Rattus norvegicus: one gene and its partners. The protein of the gene in region 1 purifies or fractionates together with the protein of each later gene. This does not show direct contact. Links are inferred from orthologs where the notes say so. Each region holds a gene or a part of one and is shown in the gene's direction. Other genes may lie near its edges.

Region 1 (5,078 bases):
TTCAGTTTATGTATACAAGTACGCTGTGACATCTTCAGCACACCAGAAGAGGGCATCGGATCCCATTACAGATGGTTGTGAGCCACCATGTGGTTGCTGGGAATTGAATTTGGGACCTCTGGAAGAGCAGTCAGTGCCCCTAACCAATGAGCCATCTCTCTAGCCCCAGCCAGAACTCTTAACCCCTGAGCTATTGCTCTAACCCCTTTTATGTGATTTCATGTTGTCATTTAATACTTAAAAATGCCTTGGTATTTGCATTATATTTCCCATTTTATATAAGATGAAAATTTAAAAGCTAAATACTTAATTTGGGGTTCATAGTATCTTTGTGGTAAGGATTTCAACTCTCCATTCACTTTTCTCTTGATAGCATTAATACTGTTCTTCCTACCTACATTTCATAATTACCTTACAGCTTTCATTTATGTATTATACATGACTACTTATTTTTAGTAACTTCTGTTTCATTTCTTAGGTGTTAAATTCACTGTAGTTCCTGACAGTTTGTTCTTGATATTACACTATACAATTTTTGAGACAGATGATTGTCCCAAGCCAAATTGTTATACAGAAACTTGATAAAGTGGCATATGTAGTTGTACTGAATTAAAGCAGTTGGATTGTGTTTCCTCTTCACATTCAAGATCATATGGAATTGTCCGTTCAGCTTTCAGCTTTATCACTTGTTCCCTGATCCATACAGGTTTTCTACTTTGAATCATTTAAGCCAGCTAACTACCTGATATCCAAATAACTAAATGACGCAGTTAATGACCAAATGTGCAAGCCGCTGCCTCCATAAGTGCTGAGTACTTTATGGTAGGCTCTTCGTAGTGATTTGCCCTTCATGTTGTGTTAGCTCTTCCCCTCTCACCCCCCCCCCCCGCCCCCCACCCCGCCACCATGAATTTCAAAATTCTGTTCTTTTTCTCAAGGCTTTCATCTTTCATGGGAAGGAAGTTAAAGAATAAATTCTCGGGCATGTGCTTCTATAATAGAGGACCTGATATTAGCTTCATAAAAGCCTTTGTGTGTTTAGCTTGCTGTTCTTCCTAAATGCCTGATCCCCAACTGTCTATTTAGAATCCCTGAGTCTGTGTTCTATCTCCATTCTTTTTTTTTTTTTTTTTTCCCCCGGAGCTGGGGACCAAACCCAGGGCCTTGTACTTGCTAGGCAAGCGCTCTACCACTGAGCTAAATCCCCAACCCCCCATCTCCATTCTTTTTTTTTTTTTTTTTTTTGGTTCTTTTTTTCGGAGCTGGGGACCGAACCCAGGGCCTTGCACTTCCTAGGCAAACGCTCTACCACTGAGCTAAATCCCCAGCCCCCCCATCTCCATTCTTAACCTTGTGTTTTCTTTGTCTTTATTGTCTTCACCAGTTCCGTTTCCTAGTGCATGTACAGGGTCTCCTGCAGTCTCTGTGCGTGCTACGGGTTTCCATTCTACATTCTTTTTATCGAAGTTATCTATCTGTGAAGTTATCTATCTGTGCGTGTGTGCGTATTCACACCACAGTGAGTGTGGAAGTTACAGGGCAACTTGGTGTTCAGGGATTAAACCCAGGTCTTCAGACTCTGTGGCAAGTGCTTCCAACCACTGTTTGATCCCTGTTCTTTAATTTGCTTCTGACTTATTCAGAGTGACAAAGCATGCATTATGCCTGTCATCTTCCCGGGCCTTTCCTTGGCCCTTCTGTATCATAATTGAAGTTGTTTTCACCTGCCACTGGGAAGCTGATAACTCTCATTCTGTGACTTTACAGTGTTGTCCTGTCCTTGTATAAAGTTTAACTGTCCTTGGACATGGTCCCTGGACTATTCTGGAGTCGCCCTCAAACATATACTCTAAACAGCTCACTTTTCTAGCTTGTGCATATACTTGAATTGTGCAAGTAAAAAGCAAAAGTGTTCAGCCTCCTGATTGGACCCCTGTTCTACTGACCCCTCCATTTTATGTGCAGTGTACAGTAACAATTAATTCGATTCCTTGGAGTCACATTTTGTTACCAAAATTAGTTTTATCTGAGTTTGGGCAGCAGAGGAAATGAAAAGATTGGGAGATAGTGATCCAGCCAGATAGTCATAAGGTGGATACTGCGGCTTCCAGTTTAGTTGAATATACCCAGCAGACTACAGTACGGAAAGTGATTTGTGTTACTGGTTAAAGGGACTTAGAAGATCTTTTCTTTGTAGAACAGAGCGGAAGAATTCACATGATACTTTTGAAACTTTATTGCTAAGAAATACTAAGAAAAGATAATCTCTTTGTCAGATTTGATACATATGAACTCCCTGAAGAATTTATATTCTCAGAAGAATCATAGTGGAAACACTACACAACATTGCATACTGTGTGTTAAGCATATTACCATCATATTATTTTTTTATTTTAAAAATTAGATTTTGTGTGTGTATGTATGTGTGTGTGTGTATATACATGTATGCACACACATGTGCACTTCAGAAGACAACTTGAGGTGATAGTGATTTCTTTTCTTCTGTCATGTAAGTCCCAGGAATCTAACTTAGGTGTTTTGACTCAACAGCAAGCCCCTTACTATGCTGATCAGTCTCACCAGCCCACTCTCTTCTCTACATCAGATTATTTTCAGATTATACACAGTACTTATTTTTATACACTGGTATTTGATCATTTTTTCCATTTGTTTCTGTTTCAAGATGACGTGAGGAGAACTGCATCAAATGCTGTCCCAGAAAGTGGTCCTCCTGCAATGCCAAGGCTACCTTCATGCTGCCCCCAGCACTCACCATGCGGAGGGACATCACAGAGTCACCATGCATTAGCACATCCACACTCAAGTTGTTTTCAGCAGCATGGCCACCATTTTCAGCATCACCACCACCACCACCATACTCCCCACCCAGCTGTCCCAGTTTCTCCTTCCTTCAGTGACCCTGCTTGTCCTGTGGAAAGACCTCAAGTACAGGCGCCTTGTGGAGCAAATAGCAGCTCTGGTTCCAGCTACCACGACCAGGTGTGTGGGTTTTACAAGTCACTTCCTCCCTTCTCCCTGTACCCCTTTCCTTCCTTTCTCTTCCTTTTTTTTTTTTTTTTCTTTTAAACTTGGGTTGTGTTCATAAAGAAGTAGAAAATCCCAGTGATATATTTTAGTGTATGTGTTGCCAAAATGAATTTGTTTATAAACTAAGCCATATTCTTGAATGCAAAAATGAACTAATTTAATGAGCTGTGAATTTTTAAATTGAGTCTTGGTATACAGAAAGTTAAAATTATTACAAACAGTTAAGGGGAAAAGTAGACATGATAGCTATCGTAAAATTCACTTGTCGGGTCATGGATATGGCATGGTGAGTAAGAGCACTTACTGCCAGGCCTGACCTGAGTTCAGTCCCTGGAACCCACATAGTGAGAAGAGAGAGCCAATTCCTACAAATTGTTCTTTGACTTACATATGCATGAGCACTGACACTCTCTCTCTCTCTCTCTCTCTCTCTCTCTCTCTCTCTCTCTCTCTCTCTCTCTCTCTTTCAGTGCAATTAGAAACAAAAACAAACCCAAAAGATACTATTTCAGGGAAGTTAATATAACTTTTAGTTGTCATGTGGCTGAACAGAGCCAAGATACCTTGAGAAAGGCTGCCTTTCTGTGTCTCTTGACCTTTCCTGAAGCACCAAGTTTTGCCTTTAAATTTTGCTGGCTGTCTCTTTTGGGACAATAATGGAGAGGTCTTCTCCAGTAGGAATTTGAAAAGAGTTAGTTTAATAATGAGCAGGATTTCAGATGTTGTTTTGCTTCTTTGTGTTAACAGTTCAGGATATTAAATGGTTATCTGAAGCTTTTGTACTTCTGGGGAAGGAGGTATGTTGAAGGCTCTGCCATAAAGGAAAGCCTCCTTTTACCAGCAATGGGAGTTGAAAGGAGAGGAAGTTAACTAGAGTTGTAGGCCATGGCAGGGTAGCCCCACCAGCTTCCCCATTCTTGAGAGAGCTCCCAACAAAGGAGTTTATCACATAGTGTTCTCTTGTTGTAGTTGATAAGAATACAGTTGGCTAAGAGATAACTTCAGTACTCTGAGATACAGAATGCTCTGAGTTCAAGGACAGCCAGGGCTACACTGGAAAAATCCTGCCTTGAAAAAGGAGGGAGGTCTGAATTCAAATCCTAGCAACCACTTAGTGGCTCACAACCATCTGCAATGGAATCTGATGTCCTCTTCTGGTGGACACCAGATATAATAAATATTAAATATGTACTCATATGTAATAAATAAATCTTTTTTTTTTGGAAGCTGGGGAATAAATAAGTCTTAAAAAAATTTTTAAAAAAGAAAAGAAAAAGGAGGGAGGTGGGGACAAACAGAAGTCAGACAGAAAGGTAGCTAACCCTAGTACTCGAAGCAGAAGCAGGTGGATCTCTGTGAGTTCTAGGCAAGCCTATTCTATAGAGTTCCAAGATAGCTAGGAATATGTAATGAGACCTTGACTCAGAAAATAAAAGATAAAGGTGCAGGTGAGATTGAATTACAGAAACAATGCTTCCTTTTGCTCAGAGTCAGTAGGTGACTGTCTTTACCAGTTCCAGTTACCTTAAAACAGTGGTTCTAAACCTGTGGGTCATGACTCTTTCTGGGGGTTGGACAACCCTTTTTTTAACAGGGTCACCTGAGACCAGTGGAAAACACAGGTATTTCCATTACAATTCTTTTTTTTTTTTTTCCTTTTCTTTTTTTCGGAGCTGGGGACGGAACCCAGGGCCTTGCCCTTGCTACCACTGAGCTAGTAAATCCCCAACCCCTACATCACAATTCTTAACAGCAAACTTACAGTTAAGAAGTAGCAGCGAAAGTAGATTAATGATTGGGTATCACCATAATATATGGGACTGTATTTAAAGTGTTACAGCATTAGGAAGGTTGAGAACCACTGTTTTAAAGGAAGGGATAGCTTATCCCAAAGTTGTCTCATGGACAGCAGACTGGTGTTGTTGATAGGGATGAACTCTAAGAACTGTCCTCTCTGCCTCCCCAGTGCAGAGATTACAGGTGTGCACTTAGCTTTTCGTGTAGATTCTGGAGGAATCAAACTTGTATCC
Region 2 (5,718 bases), on another chromosome or scaffold:
TCGAGGGCAAAGTGAATTTTATTTCGTAATTGAAGAATAGTGGTAAAAAAAAATACCCAAAGCTTGGTTTTGATTGATTCTAGCCGCATGGCTGTGTCTAGTGTCTCAACTGTTATACATAAAAATCACAGACACAAAAGACTCTTTTCTCAAAAACAGATTCCTGGAGAGGACAAAAGAACAGAGAGATAATGTATTTGGTTTTTCTAAAAAAGACTATCTATTGTCTAATTAATTCTGTTTCTCAGGCCTTGGCCATGCTAGCAAGTAATTACTTTCATGGCTGGTAAGAGGACTACTAAATACTTACCATTAATTGCAGTCTCAGACTTGCTTAAGACACACACACACACACACACACACACACACACACACACCCTCAGTTATCTTGGTTTCTAAGTTTGTTTCTTCTGGTTAGATCCAGAGCCAGGTGCGAGGTGACCAGGCGCTCAGTCTCAGGACTGTCCTGGCTTTGCGCCTCAGTTTTCCAGCCAGCCTTCTGAATATCCTGGCGGTTAGAACATCTATTCCCCGAGACTCGCAGATGCTGCTCTCCCCACACTGGCTCTGCACAGAACATCATTATCTTTGCTGAGCTTCTGTCTCTATGGCAATAACAGATGGGAAGTGCTGTGGAATTATTCATGTTCACACAGGCAGTCAAGAAACGGGCGAGTAGGAGGTGGGAGAGGGGCATGACCTGGGAGCACGGAGATGGGGGCCGACAGGAGCTGGGGCGGGGGCGGTGATGAGAGGTGACATTTGTTAGACCTATTGTGGGGTGAAAAAGGACGAAAATTCTTCAAGCACAAAAGTACTCCCAATTGGATAGCTGCAAATGTGGACCCAAACATGAGTAACCCCGAAGCGGTAAAATAAACTGGGCGAGAAAAAAAAAAAGAAAATAAAAAGGAGGGGTGGAGTGGGGGCGGGGAGCACCGCCGTCGCCGAAGCTTGAGTTCCCTAAGTCTGCGCAGTGCTACTCGCTGCGCTATTTCAGTTCCTGATCCTGCGGTGGGGTGGAGAAAAGGGGATTTCTTGGTGTTTCGAAATATGACGGGCTAGCTTCACAGAGTTGAATATTCGAGCTATCCTGGGTACGTTGGCTAGGAAGTCCCCTCATCCACCCCCGCCGGCGGTTCGAGGTGGCAGCCGAAAGTGGTTATCTTCCCCCACCTCTTACCGTCTCTGGAAAAAAAAAAAGAAAAAGAAAAAAGAAAAAAAAAAAAAAAAAAGGAAAAGCCCGAAAACCCCAACCAAAGTGCTTAGTGAATTAGAACCGGTCACTTTATGGAGGACGAGAGCAGCTGGGGCAGCAAGGTCTGCCCCGGCGGTGCTGAAACCTCCGCCTCCCGGGCGATGGCGGCCCGGGAGGCGACCGGGTGAGGCCACCCCAGCGCGGCCAGGCGGGGCTGATCGCCAGCAGCTGGCAGGGCGGCCGCGGCGGGAGGCCCCACGGGGGCGAGAGGCCCCGCGACGTCTGCGCGCCGGCGGGGGGGGGGAGAGCTGGGGGAGGGAGCGCGGGGGGAGCACGGGGGCAGGTGGCAGCGCTGAACGGGGAGGGTGGCAGCGCGGGGGCGTCTGCGCGGCGGGCTCAGCCCGGGGGTCGCGGCGGGGAGCCACCCGCAGGCTACCTCCGGGGCGGGGCCAGGCGGCCAGCTGCGGCCGCGGGGGTGGGGGGCTGTTGGCCGAGTCTGACCTCGGGCGCGGCCAGCTGCCGGGGTCGCGCACAGTGCAGCCCGCCGCGCCCTACCCCCTCTCCGCCTTCTCACCCCCGCCTTGCCGCGCGGCGGCCCAGCGGCCAGGGCGCCCCCAGGTCTGGCCCGTCACCACACGGCGGCGGGCGTGGCGGGGGCGGCCCCAGACAGCCGGCTGGGCGACTCGAGGAAGGAAGGAGGGCGGCGGGGGTGGGGCCGAGGGAACATCCTGTCTGCGCCGGGCACCGCAGACAGTGCCGTGCGCCAGCCGCCCAGACGGCGCGCCGGGCCAGCCAGCAGCGCGGGGCACGCGCGGGAGGGGGCGGGGGAGCGGGAGACCGGCGCACGCGCGTGCGCGGCGGAGGCACCAGGCGCGCGCCCCGGCCAGGGCCGGAGAGGCGCGCGCAGCCTGAAGCGCGCAGACCGCGAGGAGCCACAATAGGGCAGACGGCGCGCGCGCTCGAGGGACTGGCTGGCGCGGGGCCGCGCGGCGCCGCTGGCTTAGTTCCCTCCCCTCCCCCGCCCGCCGCCCTCGCTGTCCCCCGGGCGGCCGGAGACGGCGGCGGCGTCTGCGGGAAGCCGTGTCTCCGCAGTGACGTGGGCGGGCCGCGGGCCGGGTGACGTCAGAGGCTGTGTGTAGCGATGTGTGTGGGGTTCGGAGCGGCGCCGGCACAGCGAAGGCGGCGGGCGAGCGACGGCGACGGCGACGGCGGGCACAGGTGCGGCCGCAGGTCGCGAGGGGACGTGAGGGGCGTGCGGCCTCTGGGGGCGCTGAGGCGGCGGCGGGGGGGTTATGGGGAGGCCACAGAGCCCGTGGGGCTGTCCGGGCGCCGAGGGCCTGAGTGGGGCGTCCGGGATGCGTGGGGTCCCGGGCGGGGTCGAGGGCACAGGGCGCGCGGCGGGGGTCCCACGGGTGTACAGGCCTCGCAGATTCTAGGACGGGTCGGCTGGGAGGGGATGGCGGTGCACTTGACCCGAGCCGCCGGGACCCGGGAGACCTGGACACCGGTCATCGCCGCCATCCCCCGGCCGTCTGCGCTCGGCGGGGATGCCTCGGGCTGGCCCCATCTCTGAGCGTCCAGCGACGCAGGCTTCCGGGCTTGGCGCCCAACCTGCCTGCGCCCCTCTGGGTGTTACGGCTCAGGGTGGGTCAGTGGTGGGGAGGCGCAGCCCTGGGGCGCAGAGGTAACCCCAGAGAACTTCCCGCGGACCGAGTGCGTGGGGGATTTCCACCGGCGGCCCCCGCAGTGGGGCGATGTGGGGAGGGCACTTAGGGTGATCCCGGTCACAGAGGTGGGGGTTGGGAGGACTCCTACTTCCTCTGCCCCCTCTCACCTCACCAGACGTCGGGAGTCCTCTGCTTCCCGGTCCTTCGGGTTGATGATGAGTGGGTGTCTCTGCGTGTGCGCAGGGCTGCGGGGGCGCCCCTGGTCTAGGTCATGCCTCCTGCCCTTTTCCTTGGCTCGCCTTGGCTGAGGTGTCCCTGTAGTGGCGAAAGTCACAGTACGGTGGCTAGGTGGCTTTCGTCCGTAATTCTCTGGGTTTGTGTTAACATAAATTGCTGGGAGTTTAGAAGCAAAGGTTTTTATTTATCGGCTTTTATTGGGTTTTCTCCAGGGAGGGAAGTGGATGAATACTCTTTTTCGCCACTCTGCCTCCATTTGCATTCTTTGTGAGGTCTGTCTGCCTTGTGCTTTTTGTCCCGGATTAGTCTTGCTAAAGGATGGAGATTTCCAGGCATGGAGTCTTACAGCTTTTGGCTTCCATTAAGCAAATTCGCTAACCTTTTAAAGGGAAAGTTTTTCTTCTTCTTCAATTTAAAAAGATAGTATATATTGACTAGATGAATTAATCTGCTTGAGACTTAATTACATATGGTAGGTATATTAACATGTATCTTTTGCGGGGTGGGGGGAGAGCAGAAACTACAGGGTTCTTTTTTCTGAAGAGAAAGGATTACTTTTTAAAATTTAAATGGCATGCATAGTTGAGAAAGCCTCTGCTACTGCGTTTTGGTTATCCGTATTCTAAATTTGTGTACTCTTCCTTGTTTGGAGAGATATTATTTAATGCTCCTGTTACCCACGGTCTGGACTGCTTCCTATTTAGATGAAGTTTCTTTTAGATAACTGGTGTTAGGTTGGAAGAAACCACCCAAGTGTTACCTTTGGCAAAGTGAACTGAGTTTAAGATTAAGAAACTGGTTTTAAACAGACCCTTTGGCCTCTGGAGCTAATTCAAATGTAACTCTCCCCACCCCTTTCTCTTCCAGATCAATTAAAAGAAGAATGAACTGTAATCCCTGAAGATAAACTGGGCAGCTTTTTTACTTAGTGTATGTATATTGCTAATTATAAAAGTTCAGGTGGAGCCAGGCTCCTGCTGTGTGGAGATTTAGACAAGTCTTCAGTTTGTCAGCACAGAGCCACAGACCACCATTTTCAGTGAGGATACCTGCCTCTTCTTTTTTGGTGTTCTTGGCAAAAACTAAAACCATTGCATCATTGTAACTCGTGTTTGGGTGTAGTTTCAGGATACAGTCATGGCATAAACTTTCCACATGCTTTGCTTAAAGAACAAAACCAACCAAACTCAACCACTATACCAAACTTTGGACTTCTTGAACTGAGGAATTAGCTTTATTTTAACATAAATAGCTGAAGTGCTCAAGAAAACAAGACTTTTCTCAGGGGTGTGCTGACAATTATACCCTTTGTTATTAGAAGCGAATTGAGAAGTTTTGTAGTATTTTCAGTTACATCCTGAGAAACGGCTGAACCGAAACAGAGTTGTACAATCTATTGAGCAAGAAAATTCATCTTTGGAAACTAAACATTTCTAAGTGAGTCACAAGTATTTGTATACGTTGCCTTTTTCTCTTCAAATTAGGAACTGAGAACAACATGCCAATTGAAGACTTAATTATTTAAAAACACCGGTGTGGCCATGGAAAACCTGCAGTCTAATTTCTCCTTAGTTCAGGGTTCAAATAAAAAGCTGAGCGGGATGGAGGATGATGGCAGTCCTCCCGTGAAAAAAATGATGACAGACATTCATGCCAATGGGAAAACGCTGACCCAGGTGAAGAAGGAGCATTTGGACGACTACGGAGATGCGTCAGTGGAACCAGATGGCGAGCACGCCAAGCGCAACTGTCCTTCTCTACCTGAAACTTTAAATTTAAACCCCAGTCTGAAACACACACTGGCACAATTCCATTTAAGTAGTCAGAGCTCTTTGGGTGGACCAGCAGCTTTTTCTGCTCGATATTCCCAAGAAAGCATGTCACCGACTGTGTTCCTGCCTCTTCCGTCTCCTCAGGTTCTTCCTGGTCCTCTTCTTATTCCTTCTGATAGCTCCACAGAGCTCACTCAGACTGTTTTGGAAGGGGAGTCTATTTCTTGTTTTCAAGTCGGAGGAGAAAAGAGACTGTGTTTGCCCCAAGTCTTAAATTCTGTTCTCCGAGAATTTTCACTCCAGCAAATAAACACAGTATGCGATGAGCTCTACATCTATTGTTCAAGGTGTACTTCAGACCAGCTTCATATCTTAAAGGTCTTAGGTATACTTCCATTCAATGCCCCCTCCTGTGGGCTGATCACGTTGACTGACGCACAGAGACTCTGTAATGCTTTACTGAGGCCACGAACTTTTCCTCAAAATGGTAGCATACTTCCTGCTAAAAGCTCTTGGGCCCAGCTGAAGGAGACTGGCAGTGCCTTTGAAGTGGAACATGAGTGCTTGGGCAAATGTCAGGGTCTCTTTGCACCTCAGTTTTATGTTCAGCCCGATGCTCCCTGTATCCAGTGTCTGGAGTGCTGTGGAATGTTTGCTCCTCAGACATTCGTCATGCATTCACACAGATCCCCTGACAAGAGAACTTGCCATTGGGGCTTTGAGTCAGCCAAGTGGCACTGTTACCTTCATGTGAACCAAAAATACCTAGGGACACCCGAAGAAAAGAAACTGAAGATAATTTTAGAGGAAATGAAGGAGAAGTTTAGCATGAGAAATGGAAAGA
Region 3 (5,078 bases), on another chromosome or scaffold:
GGCTGTGGCCCTTTGCGTGGCACAGAGAGCAGGGCCTAGCCTGCTTTACTGCTGTTGGCAGCTGTTGAGTTTGGGTGTTCCCTCATAATCCATCCTGTTGTATTTGTGTGTTTAAGGGCCTAAGTGACAAGAAACCCTGGCACTAGATAGGCTGAGAGCCTGGCTGGAATCAGGCCAGTCTCATTTCCTGACACTTGTTCCTTCTGTTGGCCTCTCCTGCCTCTGTCTCTAGGAAGCCTGCCTGGGTCTGTCCTGTGATATGGGTACTGTCTGCATAGCCAGGGACATAGAGCAGAATTGCTGTGTTCTCCCATGGCTGTTTGGTGGTCGCTTAAAGATGGTTGGCAGCGTCTGGGGCAGTGACCAAAGCACTATAGGAAGTTAGGCTCCGTGTTATGATTGCAATCTGATGTGACCCTGACCCTGAGTCATCAGCCAGCATTTGAGATGACCCCCCTCCCCCAACCCCACACACACAAAATCAAGGACAAGAAACTGGATGTGGCTGGAAGGATGGGAGCGCAGGCACCTTGGGGACAGTTTCTGGGGCAGACTCTTGTTAGTTTTGTTTTGGGGACAGGGTCTCTTTATTAGGTAGTTCTGGCTGTCGAGGAACTTGCTGTGTAGACCAGGCTGGCCTTGGACTCCCAGATCTGCCTGCCTCTGCTTTCCTAGTGCTGGTGTTAAAAGTGCATGTGTGCCCTTCACCCTGGCTCTGACTAAAGAGGGGTTATCTTGGGGTGAAGAATGGCAGTGAGCTGCTTCTCTCAGGACTGGAAATGAGTGGAGGCTATCAAGATTCTATAGCGTGTGAGGTGAGCAGATGCTCTGTAGGGACCCCCAGTGGTTCTCAGCTTCTTTGTGGGTATCTGGTTACCATGATCTTAGCAATGTGCAGGCCTCTTTTAGAACCCCCAACCCACTCCACTGCCTCCACAGTATTAGCCAAGGGGACCACTGCCTCTGGCAAGTTGCCTCGTGAGGTTTCTCCAGACCTACCGTCTTTGCTTCTTGGGCATAGGCATCTTCAGGGTGCACTGTCTGTCCGGTTCAAGCCCTCTACTTGTGCTGTATGGTTCCTGCTGGCCACAAACCCCTGAGGCTCTGCCTGGCAGTTCTCTGTACCATCTGAGGCTAGAGGAGAGTGTTAGACACAGCAGCCATATTGGCCACAGCTCACCTGAATGCCAGCCTCCACTGTAACCCGTAGGCCCATGTCGTCCTGCCCTGTTTCTGCCCTTGGGCAGCATGAGTGTCTCAAGTGCTCTTTCTGAGGTTTGGAGGTGGAGGTGAGGAATTCTTAAGTTCCCTGTAGGTCAAGAGTACACAGACTCAGCGATGGGGGGTGGGGGTGGGAGTGGGGGTGGGCGTATATAGCTGGCTCCTCATCTGCTTTGGGATCTACATATCCACAGCCCTGCCTGGCCCAGCCCTTCCTGCACAGGTGCAAAGGTCACACTCAGTGACACCTGTTCTCTGCGTCTTTGCCCTTGGGATGTGGAGGAAACAAGCACCACTGTCTGAAGCTCCAGAGAGGAAGTAGCCACAGGGCATTGCTGTGGCCAGCTCAGCTGGCTCCTCCCCTGATACAGCCTGATAATAGCCCTTGGTATTGGACTTTTGGCAGCAGGGCTGTCTCTTGTCAACCTGTTTAGCTCCTGGCTTTAGCATATGGGCCCAGAGCTCCCCTCCTGGCTTATAGACACTGGGATGGTTTTGAGGCCCCAAGAAAGGACAGGATCCAGAGGTAACTGACTGGTCCTAACCATTGACTGACTCCTAGGACCCCTAGTATCCATGCTATAGATGGTGGTATCCCAGGTCTGACAAAGCTTTTTCACTGCACCCCTGTCAAGCAGGACCCCTGTCAAGTGACCCTTCTTCAGGGTCCTGTTGCTTAACAAATGCCCTTCAGCTTCCCCCTTATGTGTACAGCTAGTTTGGTATTAAAGGGATTCCTGGCACCGTCTAGTTTTAACACTTCCTTGTTCTGTAAGAGTTCTGGTTGCCTTTGGACTTTGTATGAAAATCTCAGGAGAGCTGTCCCAGCTACCCTAAGACTCCTCCACTAGCTCCAGGGGCTTCCCCATCCGATGTGTGAAGCAGCTGGGTTACCTTAGGAGACTTTGACCCCAGTATGGTAGTCTACCACTCCCCCCGTCTGTGGCCCTTCTGAACAGGAAGCAGCCTCACCCAGTGGTCCTATTCCCCAGCATTTTCTGCTGGGTCACAGTTTTGAGGCTGCCTGAGCGGTGTCCCAGACTAGACTTGTGGCTTTCTCTGTGAGAGAATAGAAACTCACTTTTTGCACCTGTTCCAGTGTCTGCTCAGACAGGAAGCCCCACCCTGGTGTGCAACACCCCCCTTCTGCCTCCATTGTGAGAGGGATCCTTGCAGTTCCGGAAGTGGGTTCTTCTACCCCAGCCAGCATCCTGGGTATCTACTCCTTCAGGGAGTACACACGGCCTCCGCTGACAGATCCTCTGCTAAGTGACAGCTTGACACTAAGAGTTATTCCCTCTAGAAAGTGGTTTCGGTGTCTTTTCTTCTTGAACAGTTATTTGTATGTGTCTGGGAACACCAGTGTCGTCCCAGGCACATGCATGCCGCCAGGGGGGCTGATCGCCCTCTCCAGGTTTCCTAGTAAGAAACCTATCAAGCTGGCACCTTGGCTGCCTTCTTCCTCTTTGCAGGTGTTGTGATAAAAGCCCTGTTCTTCTGTAGGCCGGAGGGCTCTGGCTGGAAGTCTCACTTTAGCTGCATCCTTCCCATTACACCCAAGGTAACGAGGCTGTGCGTGGGACCGAGGTGTAAACCCTGTATGCCTGCCTTGGGGTCTGTGTCATCTCCTTAGGCCCTACCTGGGGGACAGCAGCTTAGCTCCTCTAGTCTTATCTGCTCTGGGAGAGGCCCATGCTGTGATTGTTCTGCAGGTGGAACGCCGGTGTGTGTGTGTGTGTGTGTGTGTGTGTGTGTGTGTGTGTGTGTGTGTAATGTGACACTTAGGTGGAGGGTCATTGGATTTCACATACAGACTGGCTCAGGTGTGCACCACTTAATGCTGGATGTCAAACTAGACCACAGCTGGTGCCCAAGATAAGTTAGGGTACTGGCTGGCTTCTGTAAGCTGACAGCAAAGGCAGTGTGGTGACACCTGGTTAAGCTATTTTGTGAGGTATGTCATGGTCCTTCAAGTTGAATATTTCCTTCCTCTGGGGAGGGGGTAGCTGTGGTAACCGTAATGCTCTCCAATGAAGCAGTGATAAAGGATGCCCAGAGGGCAGCCCTCTTGGGTTCCTTACAGGCTGCTTGTTGGGTCACACTTGAGCCTGGAGTCAGTGCTGGGTCATTTAGCCCATTCCTGATGTGGCCACAGAGTGGGACTGAAGGCAAAGAACCTAAGAGTGCTGTGGAAGCCGGAATGGGTCTTGGCGATCCACACAGCACCCGCTGCAGCTGTGATGAGGTCACCTCAGAGCAGCCCACAGCAGCACAGTATTTCTCTGTCTCATGGGACGCCCTCGTCCCTTAGCAGACACATCAGGCTTACCTTTCTGCACAAGGCCAAGGTGCTCTGTGTTTGTGGCTCTGAGGCTCCTTCCTAGCTGTGGAATTACAATGGTCCAGTGGAGAGCTTGCTACTATGGGGCTGGTAGGGAGACCAGACCCTGCCTGGGCCCAGGGATCCCAACAGGGCCTTTTGTGTTGATCACAGGTCTCAGAGCCCCCAGCTTCCATAAGACCCAAAACAGACGACACTTCCTCACAGTCCCCTGCGTCTTCTGAGAAGGACAAGCAGTCCACTTGGCTGCGGACCTTGGCTGGTTCCTCCAATAAGGTGCTATGTGGGAACCTGTCTGGGGTCTTTGGGGAGGGAGTAAGGCCCTTCTTAAGCCAACTCTGGCTCTACTCGGCCTCAGGGACATAAAGTGGCTTGTAGTTCTGTAGTCATTTACATGGGTTTTCTTGACAGAGCCTCGGCTGTGCTCACCCTCGCCAGCGCCTTTCTGCTTTCCGGCCCTGGTCCCCTGCAGTGTCCGCAAGTGAGAAGGAGACGTCCCCACACCTACCAGCCCTGATTCGAGACAGGTGAGCAGGGATGGACAGGAGAACTGAGCTCTGGTATAAGAGGCCTCCATGGCATCAGTGCCCTTAGTCCTAGGATAAACTGCCTAGAGTTTTGAAGTCTTGAATGAAGATGCTGGGCTCACAGACAGTACTAAGAGTTCGCTTCTGGCGTTCAGGAGGCAGAGGCAAATGAATCTCTGTGAGTCTCAGGCCAGTCTGGAGTTTATAGCAGATTCCAAGTCAGCGAGGCTTGCATGAAGATTGTGCCTCTAAAAACATGAAGGTCTAGCTATGTGCTATACTAACCCAACCTGCAGGAAAATTTGTGGTTCTCGGTCATTTGAATCTGGACCTCGAGAGTTAGAGTGGGGAGAGGTCCTGTGTCCTGGCTGACTGAGCAGGGTGCATTCTATAGCTCATGTAGGGATTTGAGAGGCAGATATACCCCGGCTAAGCATCTGTTTCCTTTAGCTTCTACTCCTACAAGAGCTTTGAGACAGCTGTGGCCCCCAATGTGGCCCTAGCACCACCAACCCAGCAAAAGGTTGTGAACAGTCCACCATGCACCACCGTGGTCTCCCGGGCACCAGAACCCCTTACTACGTGTATCCAGCCACGAAAGCGAAAGCTGACCATGGACGCACCAGGAGCCCCAGACATGCTCACACCCGTGGCTGCTGCAGAGGAGGACAAGGATTCTGAGGCCGAGGTTGAAGTTGAAAGCAGAGAGGAATGTAAGTGTGGACTGGACTCTGCTCCCCTTGGGAGGTGGGGTAAGGAGGTGCGTTTGGTGACCGAGCCTAATGCTTTGGTTTCTCTGTCTGTCCTCAGTCACCTCCTCCTTGTCCTCGCTGTCCTCCCCATCCTTTACCTCGTCCAGCTCTGCCAAGGATCTAAGCTCCCCCGGCATGCATGCTCCCCCTGTGGCTGCTCCTGATGCCGCAGCCCATGCTGATGCCCCAAGTGGGCTGGAGGCAGAGTTGGAGCACCTTCGGCAAGCCCTGGAGGGT
Region 4 (5,078 bases), about 7.0 Mb from region 1:
GAGGCAGGGGTGGTTCCATGTTCCCCTCTTCTCCATATTGTGGGCATACAGCAGGCTCTTGGGCCCTGATTCTGCCACATCCCTGCCGGGAATGATCAGTGGCTGGAGCTTCCCTAACGATGTTTTTCTTGGCACAGAGGACCCTGTGACCCTTCTGCAGGGCCTCAGTGCCGTCATTTATTTTGAAAGCGGAAATAGCAACACTGTCTCTCTCCTGGCCCTCCCAGCCCATAAGGCTGGCACACCAGCAGGGTCCCTAAAGGGTAGGGGTGGCAGAGGGTGAGGCGAAGCAGCAGGGGGGCTCTGTACATACCTTGAGCTTTGGGCTGGGCAGAGAGGGAGTTGAGGCAGTAAATAGAATGTGCTCCATTGTCAGAGTGCCAGTGTTTCTAGAAGCCCCTCATTTACATGCAAATAATGTGTGAATCACTGCCAAGCACTCTGGGCATCCAGGGAAGCTGTGCTTGGCCACGCTAGGACCAGTCAGGGCAACTTTTGCTTTCGGGGCAATGATCCAGCTGTGTTCCTTTTAGAGTGTTCTAATTTGGATGTGGCTTTCACTCTGGGTTGGTTTACTGGACTGAGGTTGGCTGTGGCCGTGTCTTGGGTCAGAGCACATGCAAGCAGAGGCCAGCTGTCTGGCTTCTCAGATCCTTGCAGGTAGCGCTGGCCTCCGGGGGGTAAGTTGTCCACTCCCTGTCAGGGGCAAACCATGGAGGGCTAAGGCAGGGTGGGAGGGCAAGGCAGAATTCTGAGAAACAGATCTCTGAGGGAGCCACCACTGAATGGCACTCTCACTGGAGAGTTAAGCCACATCCCCCTAAGACAGCAGTGACCGGAGTGTCCAATCTGTACAGGGACAGGCTCAAGGCCACAGCTCCTCAGGGGACAGAGATGGTGAAGGAGGCTCTAAAGCCTCCCTTCTTAACCTGACCTTGAGGGATAGGAACAAGTCAGCTAAGTTGTGGCCCTAGAGCAAGGGACTTCAGAGTTGGGAGTCAGTGTGTTAGGATTCAGGTTAGGAGGCAGAGGGCAGAGGTGGACAGGCCTGAGCATGGCTGAGTCCAGGAGCTGACACTTTTCCTGTGAGGCCCTGCTTTCTTCTAGGTGCCCTGCATGATATATTGGCTCCCAAATGGACTGCCAGAGCCAGTCTTGCATTCATTTTAATAGAACTGCCTGCCTTTTCGTCCCCCAGAAACCCCACCTCCTGGCTACCTGAGTGAAGATGGAGAAACTAGCGACCACCAGATGAACCACAGCATGGACGCAGGTCAGTAGTGTGGGCAGTGCCTGCAGCCTTGTCCCTCCCTTCTGCCTTGCTGCTTTCTCCCTCCCTAGTGTCTGTAGAGTAGCATCCCTGTGTGCCTCATATATCCCTCTGCAGTGAGGACACAAAGTAGTTTTACTGACAGTGTAGTTAGGTCACCTGGGTGTGGTGCTGGCAGAAGGTGGGAGATGGGCTCGAACGCTTGAAGCAGTGCAGGAGGGCAGGGAGGAAAACATGGATGGAGGAATAGCCTTTTCTGGTGGCCAGCAAAGACACCAGTAGTGACTTCTTTAAAAAGAAATATCTATCTACTGATGTGTGTGTCTGTCTGTCTGTCTCTGTCTCTCTCTATGTAGTGGCCAATGTGATCAGTGTGTCCCTGCTGGGAGGGACTGAGCTAGTTCTATCCTGCTATGCTCCCAGATGTTTCCCATGTCATATGTTATGTGACCAAATTGGTTCCAAACCAGCAGCTTCTTGAACAGAGCCCCAGCTGCCACACGGGACCTGTTCTGCATTGTGTAGTGGGCAAGGAGAGAGAAAGGGGCCCAGCAGCTGTTCCATTCCCACGATGGGGGGACTGCCTCACTCTCGGACTGCAAGAGGTTGCACAATCCTCAAAAGGGTGAAAAGGGATCACATGTGTGCTAGTCACTGGGGTGTTACACTTTTAGGTCAAGCACACCCCCCAACACACACCCATCCAGGCATGTGGCTGGCAGCACAGACCCAGCTGGAATGCACGGAAGACCTTCCTGTGCTCTGTGCCAAGTGACTGCTGAAAACTTGCAGCTACAGAGTGCTGGCATGGGAAGTGAGCCAGCTAGGCAGCCTCCCTCCAGCTGCAGAGCTTCTCACAGCCCGCTCTCTCCCCCTCTGTATGTGTACAATGACTGTAATAAACAAACGTCATCAGAATGGCCTGTGTGGGGGGAGGGCCAGCCATGCATGCTTTCCCTGGCTCCAATCTGCTTGCTCCCTCTGCTTTCTTTTGTCTCATTATGCTGTCCCCTCTCCTACACCTCTCTGTCCCTGCAAGGCTCTGTGGGAGCTAGGATTTGTGTACTCAGCCAACCTAGGCATGGATGGGTGGAGGTCTTTCTTTGTTCTTTTTCTTCCAAGTAACCCATTTGGCTCCGAGTCCAGTTGCTCATGGACTTGGCTTTCCTACCAGGTGAGATGTGGAAGTGTCTCTGGTTAGAGGGTCACCCAGGTCACCCTCAAGTCTCCCCTGAGAGCACATGTGTCCTTTCGACTAACCTTAGACCTTCATGATTTGAACTACCATAGAAATAGGAAACAACTATTGAATGCTTCCTATATGCCAAGCCTGGCAATTGTTTGTTTGTTTTTAATGTAACCTTCTATTTACTTTATACAGGTCAGTAGATGATAATGTCTCTACTTTATATGAGGGGGAAATGAAGGCGCAGTAATGTTAACATACTTTGGCCCAAACCACACGGGTGATACGTATTTGCAGCAAGCTGGCCAAGCCCCACTTGGCCTCTGAAATTGTTCTTTATCTCCACTGGGGCAGGTGCCACCACGGGAGAAAAGGAAGCCTGTGACCCATTCTTGGCCCTCTCAGAGCTCAGAACTCTGTTGGGGTGAAATAAAAGAGCCCCAGGGACAGCTCAAGGCAGCTTCAGGGCTCAGCCTCAAGGTCTGGTGGATGTCAGGGGGTGGGGTGGGGCCACAAGACATTCATAAATAACTAACTATGAGCTGCACACGGGCCTACAGAAAGGCAGACCTGATCTCTCTCTCTCTTTCTCCCTCCCTCCCCCCTCCCACACCCACACACTCACACCCACACACACACACACACACGTTTTCTTGGTAGCTAGGGATTGAGAGAAAATCAGAGCATGAATTATTAGACGTCACATGCCCTCTCCTGCCGTGTACGAAGGATCAAATAAGCTGCTGAGTTGCAGCATTTCTGAGGCAGATCTGTGAGGATGGAGGCTACCCTCCACAGCACACATAGGGGCTCCTTGTCTTTGCATTTCCTCAGGAATAGTCAGTCTTCCCTGAGGGCAGGTGTGTGAGCTGGCCTAGTTGGGCCCACCAAGGCCTGCACTGGAGCCTTGCTTAGGTGCTAAGGTGGAATGTGTTTGAGGGGCCTTTAAAATTACCTTCAATCTGTCTATTCCACAGATAGGGCATCATGGCTAGATGTGTAGTTGGGGGGCTCATGAGGTTAGGCCCAGGCTCCTGAGACTCCAGGCTTGGTCTAGGGTCTCCTTGTAGCATGGCGAGTGATCCTGTCTTGGTAGTGGAGTACTCCAACAATGTCTTACAACTGTGTCTCACCTTGCAGGCTCTCCAAACCTCTCCCCGAATCCGATGTCCCCAGCACACAATAACTTGGGTGAGTAACTATCCATCTTTAAGGTGAAGGCTGCCACACTCCTGGCTGTAACTCAACTGATTGCCTCAGTGGGAAGGGACAGTTAAGGTGAGCCCTGCCCCCTCCTTCACCATCAGCACAGCCCAACCCGAGGGGTTTCTGGTTACAGTGATCCTTGGGTCACCTCAGAACAGAGAAACCCGAGAACAGTGGCCTGTAGGAAAGACAGTCTATGCTGAGGTTCGTATTTCCCCTGGGAAGCGGTCAGACGTGAGTGAACAAAAATCTCCCAGACTTCAGGCCCAGGAGACAGGGGCCTCGGTCAGCCAAACACACGTGTGTGGCTTGGGGCAAAGCCACAGGCAGCTGCCCAGACTCGGCCCCCAGCTCCCAGAAGCTTGTTTCAGACACACATTGGTATTTCAGCTGAGTTATATCGTCTCATAATAACTTGTTATTAAAACAGCAACATATAAGGAATTTGGGGAGAAAGCAATGTGCCCACGATCGCACTGCCTAGCACAACTGTTTTATCGTGGTCTGTCTGGTACTGGTGAGGGCAGTGTACACATGTGCTCCATGCTGCTGAAACCAGGGCTTGTCTGCCTCTCCCAGTCTCTGCCTCTGTTTCTCTGAAAATGTGTCTCTCCATTCGAATGTCTTGATTAGCACTGTGTTATCTCCCAGTGTTTATATCAGCTGACCCCACTGTTCCCACAACAATGTTCAGCTGTTGGACTGCAGGTCAGTGTTCTGAGGGTCACCCTGCCAGCCTGCTAGCATCCCTCCTGTGTGGGAGAGGGAGGCTTTGCAGAAGTCCTTGGGGCTAGAAACGGCAGAAGGGCTCAAAACAGATGTGACATCCATGTTTTTATCAAAGGTAGCTTTTGATTTTCTGGTTTGTAGTTTGGAAAAAACAAAACAAAACAAACTAAGTTTGGGTTCATGGGGTTGGGAGTGTGGCGTTAGGCTAGCACTTGCTTTTCGGCTCAGGAAAAGCAGCTGATCATGGTAGAACCCTTCAGAGTGGAGTACGTTGGACAGGCTGTGGTGCCCACTTGTTTCAAGACCTTGGCAGATATCAGATAGAACTCGTCATCTAGAATATTGGGAGATGGGTAAAGAGCCTTTGAAATATGCCGATGTGTGGGTGGAACAAAACAGGACTTAGAGATACAGTTTAAATCTTTGTAGCATAATACCGCCGGGCTTGGCTGAGGGAAGGTCATATCCCTGATAGTGAAGGGACTGCGTTATTGAAAACAACCTGAGACTATAAGCCATTAAAGGCCAATTGTGAGCTTGACTCTGGGCTTCCCCTTTAGGATTGCTTTAGATTTATTTTTGGAGCATTTCATCCCACCATGGTCAGGCCAGTACCCCTGTGGCAGGTACTTATCTGTGAAGTCATCAAGGTCACAGGCCAGTCTGAAGGTGGCAGTGGCCTTGGGC
Region 5 (4,975 bases), on another chromosome or scaffold:
AAGCGTTCCGAAGCTAACCGTCTGTGCTTTGTTTTAGGAAGGGGAGTGCGCTTGTATTACATAGGTGGGGAAGTGTTTGCCGAGTGCCTAAGTGATAGTGCGATCTTTGTGCAGAGCCCCAACTGTAACCAGAGATACGGCTGGCACCCCGCGACAGTGTGCAAAATCCCACCAGGTAGGAGTCGACACGTAACAAACCTCATCCCACCGCCTCCTTAACTTTGCTACTTGCTAATGGCTTTAGAAGTGGGAGCTGATTTTGTATGCTCACTCTGAAAGCATAGATCCTTTAGAATTACTCTCTAACAATGACAATAGTATATTTACTGTTTCTTAACCATAGGCTGTAACCTGAAGATCTTCAACAACCAAGAATTTGCTGCTCTTCTGGCTCAGTCTGTTAACCAGGGTTTTGAGGCCGTTTATCAGCTGACTCGAATGTGCACCATAAGAATGAGCTTCGTGAAGGGGTGGGGAGCAGAATACCGGTACGAATCACACGCTCAAGTTTCTAGTTTCTACCCTGATTCTCCTTATTCTCTTCTTTGCATCTTCTGTAGTTCATTTGTGTTTCAAAAGATCTTTATATAAAATAGTAGAAGACAGCTAAGCGTGTAAGTCGGTGGGACGCTTGTGTGTCATGTGGAGGTGCGCGCTTTAATCTTTGGAAACACAGAAGCCAGGTGTTGTGGTATACACAACACAGAAGCCAGGTCCGGGAGTTCATGGTCGTGAGTGAATTACATGAGGCTGACACTTAGTGAAAGTTGGAGGCCCATAGATAAGAAACTTGAAATGACTGTATTATAGGAGAGAAGACTGAACTGTATGCAAACATGCATTTTATAGAACCAGAGGTGTCTACTTTGTACTCAAGGGAAGCTTCCTGAGTGGAGCAACCTAGGTCCGGTTCTAGGAGATGCATGTAGGGTTTCAGGAGAGCAAAGGGCAGTGTGGAATCTGGCAGTCTGGCAGCAGAGTTTGATTAGAAGTAGGATAAAAGTTAGGTCAGCAGGTCAGTTGACAACAGCTGGTTGTAGTCCCCCTCACCTGTGGTCTCGCTTCTCCTTACCCCAGTCTGCTGAGTGTACGGGATCTCCAGCCTGCTACACATGCAAGCATGGCAGAAACCCTCATGCAGGTGCCTGTGCTTGGAAGTTGCCTAGAGCATCCCGAAGACCCAGGGGTTACTTGAGTTGATACCACGGGATAAAAAGCACTACATACATGCTTGGACACTAAGCTCCCCTGCAGTGCTTTTTTTTTTTTTTTCTTATTTTTTTTTTCTTTTCTTTTTATCGGAGCTGGGGACCGAACCCAGGGCCTTGCGCTTGCTAGGCAAGAGCTCTACCACTGAGCCAAATCCCCAACCCCTCCTGCAGTGCTTTTAATTATGTGTGTATCATCGTGTGTGTGTGTGTGTGTGTGTGTCTGTGTCTGTGTCTGTGTGTCTGTGCGTGTGTGTCTGTGCGTGTGTGTCTGTGCGTGTGTGTCTGTGCGTGTGTGTCTGTGCGTGTGTGTCTGTGCGTGTGTGAATGGCATTGCCTGTGAAATCCAGAAAGGGTTGTAGCTGTCTGGAGCTGGAGTTGCAGGTGTTTATAGTTGCCAGATGTGGGTCCCGGTCACTAACCTGGGTCTAACAGAGCATCGCATACTCTCCTGCTGAGCCTTCAGCCCTATGGCTGTCCAGTCCTCAATGCTGTCAGGCATGGATTGTTTAAAGATGGAGACCTGATAATGTTCTTCGACCATGATTGAAGAATGTCATGTTGAAGAAGCAAAAGTAAATGTATTGATAACTCTTTGTAGCAAATAAGATTCAGGGAGTAGGCAGTGCCCCCTTTGTTAAAGCCTAGATGGTTTTAATTTCACTTTTTAAAGTAGAAGCCTGAGGGGTGTTACTGACAAGGATGTTGCTTGTTGTGAGTCTTAGAGAAACTTTAGCTTCAAATCTTAACATTGTGTGGTAAGGATTTAGATTGGGTCAGCAGACTTTAAAATTGAACCTTGTTCTGGTGTAGGTTTCATTGATAACATAAAAGTAGGGGGTCATATGTGTCATTTTCCTTGGGGCAATCTTTCCTGGTTTTTGTCTCTCGTCCCGGCCTCATTATTAAGTACCTTCCTCTCACAGGCGTCCCATTTGAGGTGGCAGGTAAATAGCAGTGTCAGTAGACTCATTTAACTTCAGGAGAAAGGATAGTTTGTAAATCTTTCAAAAAGGTGGACTTCTGGGGAGATAGCTTGGTTGGTAAATCTCAAAAGTTGGCCACTACAAGGACTTGAGTATGAAGCTCCAGCATCCACAAGACCCGGACACAGCTGTGTCTAACATCTGCATGGGGTGGGATGGGGTGGCTGGGACTGAGGACCTGAGGCTGGGGGACAGATGGACTCTGGGAGCTTGCTGGCCAGGCAGTCTAGCCAGAATAGGGAGCTTCGGGTTCAGTGAGTGACCCTGACTCAAGGAAACAAAGTGAAGTTGAGGAAAACATCCGACTCCCTTCTGGCCTCTGCGTGCACCTAGAAACATACATATGTACCACACATAAAGAAATAAAATTCTTAGGGGCTGGGGATTTAGCTCAGTGGTAGAGCGCTTACCTAGGAAGCGCAAGGCCCTGGGTTCGGTCCCCAGCTCCGAAAAAAAAGAACCAAAAAAAAAAAAAAAAAAAAAAAGAAAATTCTTGAAAAAGGAAAAACTCATTAGTTCATTTTAGCAGTAAAAATTAACCATTTTAAAATTAATAACTATATATAAAACTAATAATTATTCTAAAAAAATATTTTATTATATATAGCCTTTTAATTTTCTAACTTTTTGTGTTCTTTCAAACAGGAGGCAGACAGTAACAAGTACTCCTTGCTGGATTGAACTTCATCTGAATGGCCCCCTGCAGTGGTTGGACAAAGTATTAACTCAGATGGGATCCCCGTCAGTGCGATGCTCAAGCATGTCCTAAAGTCCGTCAGCAGTGGAGCTCATTGGAAGACTTAACGTACCAACTCCTCCGCCACAGTACTCGTGTGTGATCCCGTGGACTGTGCTAGTCAAAACCCAGAGCGAAAACAGCACTTGAGGTCTCATCAGTTAAAGCACCTTGTGGAGTCTGTTTCCTACATTTGAATTTTAGATGGGAAATTAGTGTCTAGAAATGCCCTCCCCAGAGGGGACAAAGAAGACTTAAAGACTTAATGATGTCTCGTTGGGCATAAGACAGTGTCCCAAAGGTTATTAATACCAGTAGTAGTTGTGTACAGTAATGTGTCCAGACCCAGTATTGCAGTGCTCTGCTGTTTGTATACCTTCTTAGTGTGCATAAATGAGGTGTGTGCTGCTGCTTGGTCTAGGCAAGCCTTTATAAAATTACAGTACCTAATCTGTTATTCCCACTTCTCCGTTATTTTTGTGTCTTTTTTAATATATAATATATATATCGAGATTTTCAAATTATCATTTAGAAGCAGATTTTCCTTGTAGAAACTAATTTTTCTGCCTTTTACCAAAAATAAACTCGTGGGGGAAGAAAAGTGGATTAACTTGGAAGTCCTTGACCTTAATGTGTCCAGTGGGTCTTAGCATTCTTTCTGTGATCATTTTCTGCTGAATTGCATTAGAAGGAAACCTTGTTGGAAACTTCCAGGCTCTTTGTGCCATTTCTGTTCTGATTCAAAGCAGTGCAGCATGATGTCATTGTGGTAAATAGTTGCACTGATGGCTTCTGGGTTAGTTACTTCTGAGTCCAGTAAAGGATTGTGTGAGCAGTAAGTCCTTTTGTCTTCTAACCAGACTTCAGCAGATGATAACCAGTTGTTCCATTGATTAACTTTTGTCTCAAACGTGCACAGGTGACAGTATAATTATTTTCAGGGCTATTCTAGAATCATCTCAGTATGTTTCCTTCTTCCAACGCCAGTCTGATAATAAAGTATCTTTCTGTAAAGGCAGTCAGCTTTTGGCGTCATCTCACTTTACTACAGGTTGTCACAGAAGAGACCTTTGTTAGCTGATGCTGAAGTGTCATCAGCAGATAGGGCCATCTGTTCCTAAAGTGTATCGTCTGTAATTTATAATAAATAGAATGTTATATTGCCTAGTTTCAAAATTTTAAATATTGTGAGCTAAGCCGTTCAGCAAGATTTCTAGCCCGCAGTTAGCAGTGGACTTCACTCTTCTTGACTAATCCTGGGTGTGTGGTTTACTGACCTTTCTGCTCTGCAAAAAGGTGATCCCAGCTGTCCTGTTGGCCCTTTGCTCTGCAGCACACAGCAGTCACGTCCAGTGCTGATTCCTTTGTTTGCAACTCCGTACAAATGGAAAATACTTCCCAATCTCCTCTTTGTAAACTTTCATGTTTTTGCAGACAAATAACTTTGGTACTTACTCTCTGTGACCATACTCTCATGTATGTACAGTAATCATTTTTGATGCTTTTCAACATTTGGTTTTCTACTTGATATTTCTCATTTTCCTATATTTGTGTCTGTATGTTCTGTGTTGTAAATTTGGTAGAGTAATTTTTTATTCAAATATTTATTGTTCACCTGTTAATGTGCCATGAACTCCCTTAACCTTTGGGTGAAGGTGAACAAGAGAGCTGTAGTTCTGCCTTGCTAAGATAGCACTGCTCTCACACATACTGCAGTGTCTGCATAGGGGTAAACAGGGTATGTTTAGAGCATGGCAGGGAGGATGCTATTGATAGGACAATGGGAAGGCATCTGAGCGAGCGGTGCTTAAGCTAACACCTGATAGAAGGAGAAAGTGCTATGAAGAGTCAAGGTCAGTTTAACTCTGCTGGGACAGCATCTAACCCAGAGGCTCAGGCTCTGAGACGCACCGTCAGGTATCATAACTGCACATACCCACACGTGAGGATGACAGTGGTGGTTCTGTGTAGAATCTGTTGAAGGTGGGACTGCCTTGTGATAGGCTGCTTCTGTCATCTCCCTGTCATCTCTTCCTTTGTTGTGC
Region 6 (3,996 bases), on another chromosome or scaffold:
CTTCCTGCTCTCTCCTCCTCCCTTTGCGGTGACCAAGGCGATGCTGGCCCTGTCCATGTGTCCTGGGAAACTCTCAGAGAGAAATACCTACCCTGACCTTTGTTGGAAGACTGTGGGATGTGGGCGCAGTTTGGGTAACGATGTTGGGTACTTCCCATAAGTGAGCCCAAGCAGTCATTCAGGCCAAGGGGGACCTGCGGGAGCCGCCATGGCTTGGTACTGCTCTGGGTTCTCAGAAGGTGTGATTTCTGCTTTGGGATGTGTTCACTGAGGGCTTGCTGGAGAGGAGAGTGTGTGTGTGCTCAGAAGTAGTCTGGGCAAGAGCAAGGGGGAGGTGTAGAGCTGCCCTGTGTGCGGCTGGAGACAGGGAGGAGCAAGCAGGGGTCTCCCTGTAGTGCGTTGAGGGGACACCCACACACTACCATTTATCTGGGCTGGGCCATTAACCTCAACAGAAAAGGGCTTTTTCCTGGGGATGTCTGGCGGCAAATTGCTGGGTAAGACCGTCTGTGTAGATGAAAGAGAAACCCAGGCAAGCTTCCCTGCATCACTCCCTCTCTCCCCACAGACCTCAGGCCATCCAGCCTTGCCCAGTCTGCGCTGCCCCAGAGGCTTGCCTGGCAGACAGGACCCTCACCCCTTGCTCAGGAGGCCTGGCATGGGGAGCAACTTGATCCCAGGCTCCTCCTCCCTCTTCTTCCTTCCCCCTACCCTTGCTGTGTGGTGCCAGGTTTCAGTGGGGCTGGGCCACAAGAAACAAAGCCTTGTGAGGCCCCTCTTGAGAGTCTCCCCAACCTCCTTCCCTCCCTTCAGCCGCTCCCCGAGTCTTCCTTTCCCCCACGGCCCGGTTTCTTGACCCAAGTTTGGGACACTTTGGGGAAACACTCTTGTGTCCCGAAGTGTCTTACTTCGTTGGACTAACGTGAGGGGATGTTGGTGCGGCCTTCGAGCTGAGCTCCCTCTGCAAGAAAGTTCAGAGATTGCCTGTGCTCACTTTATTAGCAGTTGATGGATACTCTGCAGGAACAAGTTAATGCCTGATGACTCACCTTCTGCTCGGAGCCCTCGTCCCTCTCTTGTTTCTCGTCCTTTCTAGAGTGTGCGGGCACAGACACTCCACCATAAACACACACTCAGACACACATGCGGTTTGTATACTGGGTGGTGTAGGTCCATGGCGGTGGGGGCAGGGGACAGCGCAGGTTTTCGATGTCGATTTTTTTTTCCCCCAGTGGCCTGGGGATTCAGAAAAGGAATCCACCACCCTGTCTTGGCATCCCCTTTGTGCGTAACTGGGCGTGGATTGGGGAGGCCAGTTAGAGGGGGTGTCTGAGGTAGGGGACAGCCACTCAGGATTTGGGTGTAGGTGGCTACCTTTGTGGGTTGTACAAGTGTTCAGACTCACTCACACGTGGGACTCCGCACCCACTGCTGCTTTGAAGAAATAAAATAAGAAAGCAAGCAGCGAGCTGACTGGTTCCCAGGTCCTAACATGCCTATAAAAGTTGGAATGGATTGATGTACCAGGCTGCCCTGGGTCACCAACAAGGCTGAGTTTTCTTGGTCCTGCCCGTGGACGGGGACAGCCCTCATCATGTTCTGAGCCCAGAAACGACAAAGGCCTCGAGGACACACATCCCCCATGCAACTCCATCTTCAGGGCCCTCCAAACTTACAGGGGTGAGAGAGAGGCAGGAGGCTTCTGAATCTGCCTTGATGTTCTCCCCTCCCCCCCAACTCCTTCCCCCTCTTGCCTTCCCCCATTTTTGTTAGCAAATACAAGACTTCCGCTCTCCACCCTGCCGCCACAAACCACAGCGTTCCTGCAGCCTGGCGGGCCGGGGAGATTTATAGGCCTCAGTCTGGGGCCGGTTTTCTCTTGGCTAGAGTGAAGGGAGGTAGTAGGCTGCCCATGCAGGGGGAGGGACTTTACTTTCTTCCACATACCCCCTCCCTAAAGTTCACAGAACTCTTGTTTAGGAAAGCCAGGCCTCCAGGCTTTTGTGGGCTTGGTGGGGGGGCTTGAGGGGACGGGTAGGTGGGTGAAATGCCACAAAGGGCAGTGTGGGCTGTGCAGGGTCAAACTGGAGGAGAAGGGAGCACGTCAGGGAGACAGACCGGCAGAGGGAGTACATCAATGATGGTCACGTTTAATTTAGACATGGCATCGTCTGTCTGGGCTGGCTGTGGTCTAGGCTGATGTCCACCTGCATGTTGTAATTTGGCATTTGGCCTTGAACTAATAACCTTTTCAAAGCCTACAGGCTGCTGCTGTCCTACAGATAGAGTTGGTTTGTGTCAGGAAGATGACTTTAAAAAAAAATAACACCTTCAGACCTCAGAGTCACCCTCATCTTTATTTGTACCAGCTGACGTTCCCTGGTGAACAAGGCATGTGAGAATCGGATGACAAGCTAGTACAGAGGCTGTGTAGGCCACCTGGCTTCACAGTCTGATTGGGTCAGCACCCAGTAGGCCAGCATCTATTATCCAAGTCTTAGGGGAGCAGGGAGTAGAGAAGCTGCCCTCCAGGTTCCATCCATGGGAAGCAACTCTTAATCTAGGCCATTTCTGAGGCCTTTGTCAGTGGTCCCAAGGTCTGTGCTTCTCGGGGACCAGCAGGTGCTGATGCTGTGGGCTCAGATAAAGAGGAGAGGGAGGATGACAGCAGTAAGCCCTGTATTTTAAAGGTGGTTTAAGGCTCTTCCCCCCATTAGCACTACAGACCCTACAGCTAGCCCAGGCTTACCTCCCCCCACCCCCTGTTTATGTTTTTAGACAGCTTATGGAGACTAAATAAGCATTGAGTTCAAATGCGTACATGTGTGCCCTTTGATTCTAGAAGGAGAAAAGAACCCTGGTCTCTGTCACCACTCACCGCGTCTGACATTTTGTCTTGTAGATTCCCAACTTCTTCTGGAGCCTGGGGATCGGTCACACTGGTGCGTGGTGGCATACTGGGAGGAGAAGACTCGAGTGGGGAGGCTCTACTGTGTCCAAGAGCCCTCCCTGGATATCTTCTATGATCTACCTCAGGGGAATGGCTTTTGCCTCGGACAGCTCAATTCGGACAACAAGAGTCAGCTGGTACAGAAAGTGAGGAGCAAGATCGGCTGTGGCATCCAGCTGACAAGGGAAGTGGATGGCGTGTGGGTTTACAACCGCAGCAGTTACCCCATCTTCATCAAGTCCGCCACACTGGACAACCCGGACTCCAGGACGCTGTTGGTGCACAAAGTGTTCCCTGGTTTCTCCATCAAGGCTTTTGACTATGAAAAGGCCTACAGCCTGCAGCGGCCCAATGACCACGAGTTCATGCAGCAGCCATGGACGGGCTTCACCGTGCAGATTAGCTTCGTGAAGGGCTGGGGCCAGTGCTACACCCGCCAGTTCATCAGCAGTTGCCCGTGCTGGCTGGAGGTCATCTTCAACAGCCGGTAGTCTCCCGGTGTGGGGAGAAGAGGACAGGACGGAGGGGTGAGCCGAGCAGGCCACCGTTCAAACTACTTGCTGCTAATCTTTCATGCAAAACTCTTTCGGTCGGTTTTGTTGTTTGCCATTCATTGTTGGTTCTGTTTTGTTTTGTTTTCCTTTTTTTTTTTCTTCCTTCTTCTTTTTCCTCCTTTCTTGTCACTCTTGTGTCCTGTGTGTCTCGTTCTTTGAGAAAATATGATGCGGATTTTTGGTTGTGTTTTTGTTTGTTTGTTTGTTTGTTTGTTGTTGTTGTTTGTGTTTTGAGGTGGTGGTGGGTGCGGTTGGCAGGACACCCCGATACAAAAACGGGAAGCAAGAGTCAGCACTGCCAAGCGTGGTGTGCGAAAGTGGGTACCACCTTCCCCTTTGGATCAGCATTTCAGTTGTCAGTGTGTGTGTGTGAGGGGGGTGTACGTGAATGACAGATGGGGGAATGGCGTGCTTTTTTTGTGTTCTTTATGGATGTCCCCAGCTGAGAGGCTTGCAGTTCCAAGCTGTGTGTCTCTCACTGTGTGTCTCTCT

What was found.
Region 2: the proteins of Rnf111 (region 1) and Skil purify together in Homo sapiens (affinity purification with western blotting; 3 studies listed by BioGRID). This does not show direct contact. The link is inferred for Rattus norvegicus from reciprocal best matches to the Homo sapiens genes RNF111 and SKIL.
Region 3: the proteins of Rnf111 (region 1) and Ski purify together in Homo sapiens (affinity purification with western blotting, with the first as the bait; 3 studies listed by BioGRID). This does not show direct contact. The link is inferred for Rattus norvegicus from reciprocal best matches to the Homo sapiens genes RNF111 and SKI.
Region 4: the proteins of Rnf111 (region 1) and Smad3 purify together in Homo sapiens (affinity purification with western blotting; 5 studies listed by BioGRID). This does not show direct contact. The link is inferred for Rattus norvegicus from reciprocal best matches to the Homo sapiens genes RNF111 and SMAD3.
Region 5: the proteins of Rnf111 (region 1) and Smad2 purify together in Homo sapiens (affinity purification with western blotting, with the first as the bait; 3 studies listed by BioGRID). This does not show direct contact. The link is inferred for Rattus norvegicus from reciprocal best matches to the Homo sapiens genes RNF111 and SMAD2.
Region 6: the proteins of Rnf111 (region 1) and Smad7 purify together in Homo sapiens (affinity purification with western blotting; 3 studies listed by BioGRID). This does not show direct contact. The link is inferred for Rattus norvegicus from reciprocal best matches to the Homo sapiens genes RNF111 and SMAD7.

The regions. Positions count from the first base shown.
Region 1 is NC_086026.1:80,004,541-80,009,618, reverse strand, and holds part of Rnf111 (E3 ubiquitin-protein ligase Arkadia), read left to right. Parts: intron 1-2,683; coding exon 2,684-3,000; intron 3,001-5,078. UniProt on the Homo sapiens protein: E3 ubiquitin-protein ligase. Required for mesoderm patterning during embryonic development. Acts as an enhancer of the transcriptional responses of the SMAD2/SMAD3 effectors, which are activated downstream of BMP.
Region 2 is NC_086020.1:114,200,223-114,205,940, reverse strand, and holds the start of Skil (ski-like protein), read left to right. Parts: upstream 1-2,368; 5' UTR 2,369-2,416; intron 2,417-3,969; 5' UTR 3,970-4,643; coding exon 4,644-5,718. UniProt on the Homo sapiens protein: May have regulatory role in cell division or differentiation in response to extracellular signals.
Region 3 is NC_086023.1:171,001,343-171,006,420, reverse strand, and holds part of Ski (ski oncogene), read left to right. Parts: intron 1-2,693; exon of another isoform or gene 2,694-2,782; intron 2,783-3,715; coding exon 3,716-3,838; intron 3,839-3,973; coding exon 3,974-4,089; intron 4,090-4,539; coding exon 4,540-4,802; intron 4,803-4,899; coding exon 4,900-5,078. UniProt on the Homo sapiens protein: May play a role in terminal differentiation of skeletal muscle cells but not in the determination of cells to the myogenic lineage. Functions as a repressor of TGF-beta signaling.
Region 4 is NC_086026.1:73,037,351-73,042,428, reverse strand, and holds part of Smad3 (mothers against decapentaplegic homolog 3), read left to right. Parts: intron 1-329; exon of another isoform or gene 330-680; intron 681-1,198; coding exon 1,199-1,273; intron 1,274-3,596; coding exon 3,597-3,647; intron 3,648-5,078. UniProt on the Homo sapiens protein: Receptor-regulated SMAD (R-SMAD) that is an intracellular signal transducer and transcriptional modulator activated by TGF-beta (transforming growth factor) and activin type 1 receptor kinases.
Region 5 is NC_086036.1:72,183,293-72,188,267, forward strand, and holds the end of Smad2 (mothers against decapentaplegic homolog 2), read left to right. Parts: intron 1-37; coding exon 38-175; intron 176-343; coding exon 344-488; intron 489-2,839; coding exon 2,840-2,963; 3' UTR 2,964-3,948; downstream 3,949-4,975. UniProt on the Homo sapiens protein: Receptor-regulated SMAD (R-SMAD) that is an intracellular signal transducer and transcriptional modulator activated by TGF-beta (transforming growth factor) and activin type 1 receptor kinases.
Region 6 is NC_086036.1:71,286,810-71,290,805, forward strand, and holds part of Smad7 (mothers against decapentaplegic homolog 7), read left to right. Parts: intron 1-2,902; coding exon 2,903-3,441; 3' UTR 3,442-3,996. UniProt on the Homo sapiens protein: Antagonist of signaling by TGF-beta (transforming growth factor) type 1 receptor superfamily members; has been shown to inhibit TGF-beta (Transforming growth factor) and activin signaling by associating with their receptors thus preventing SMAD2 access.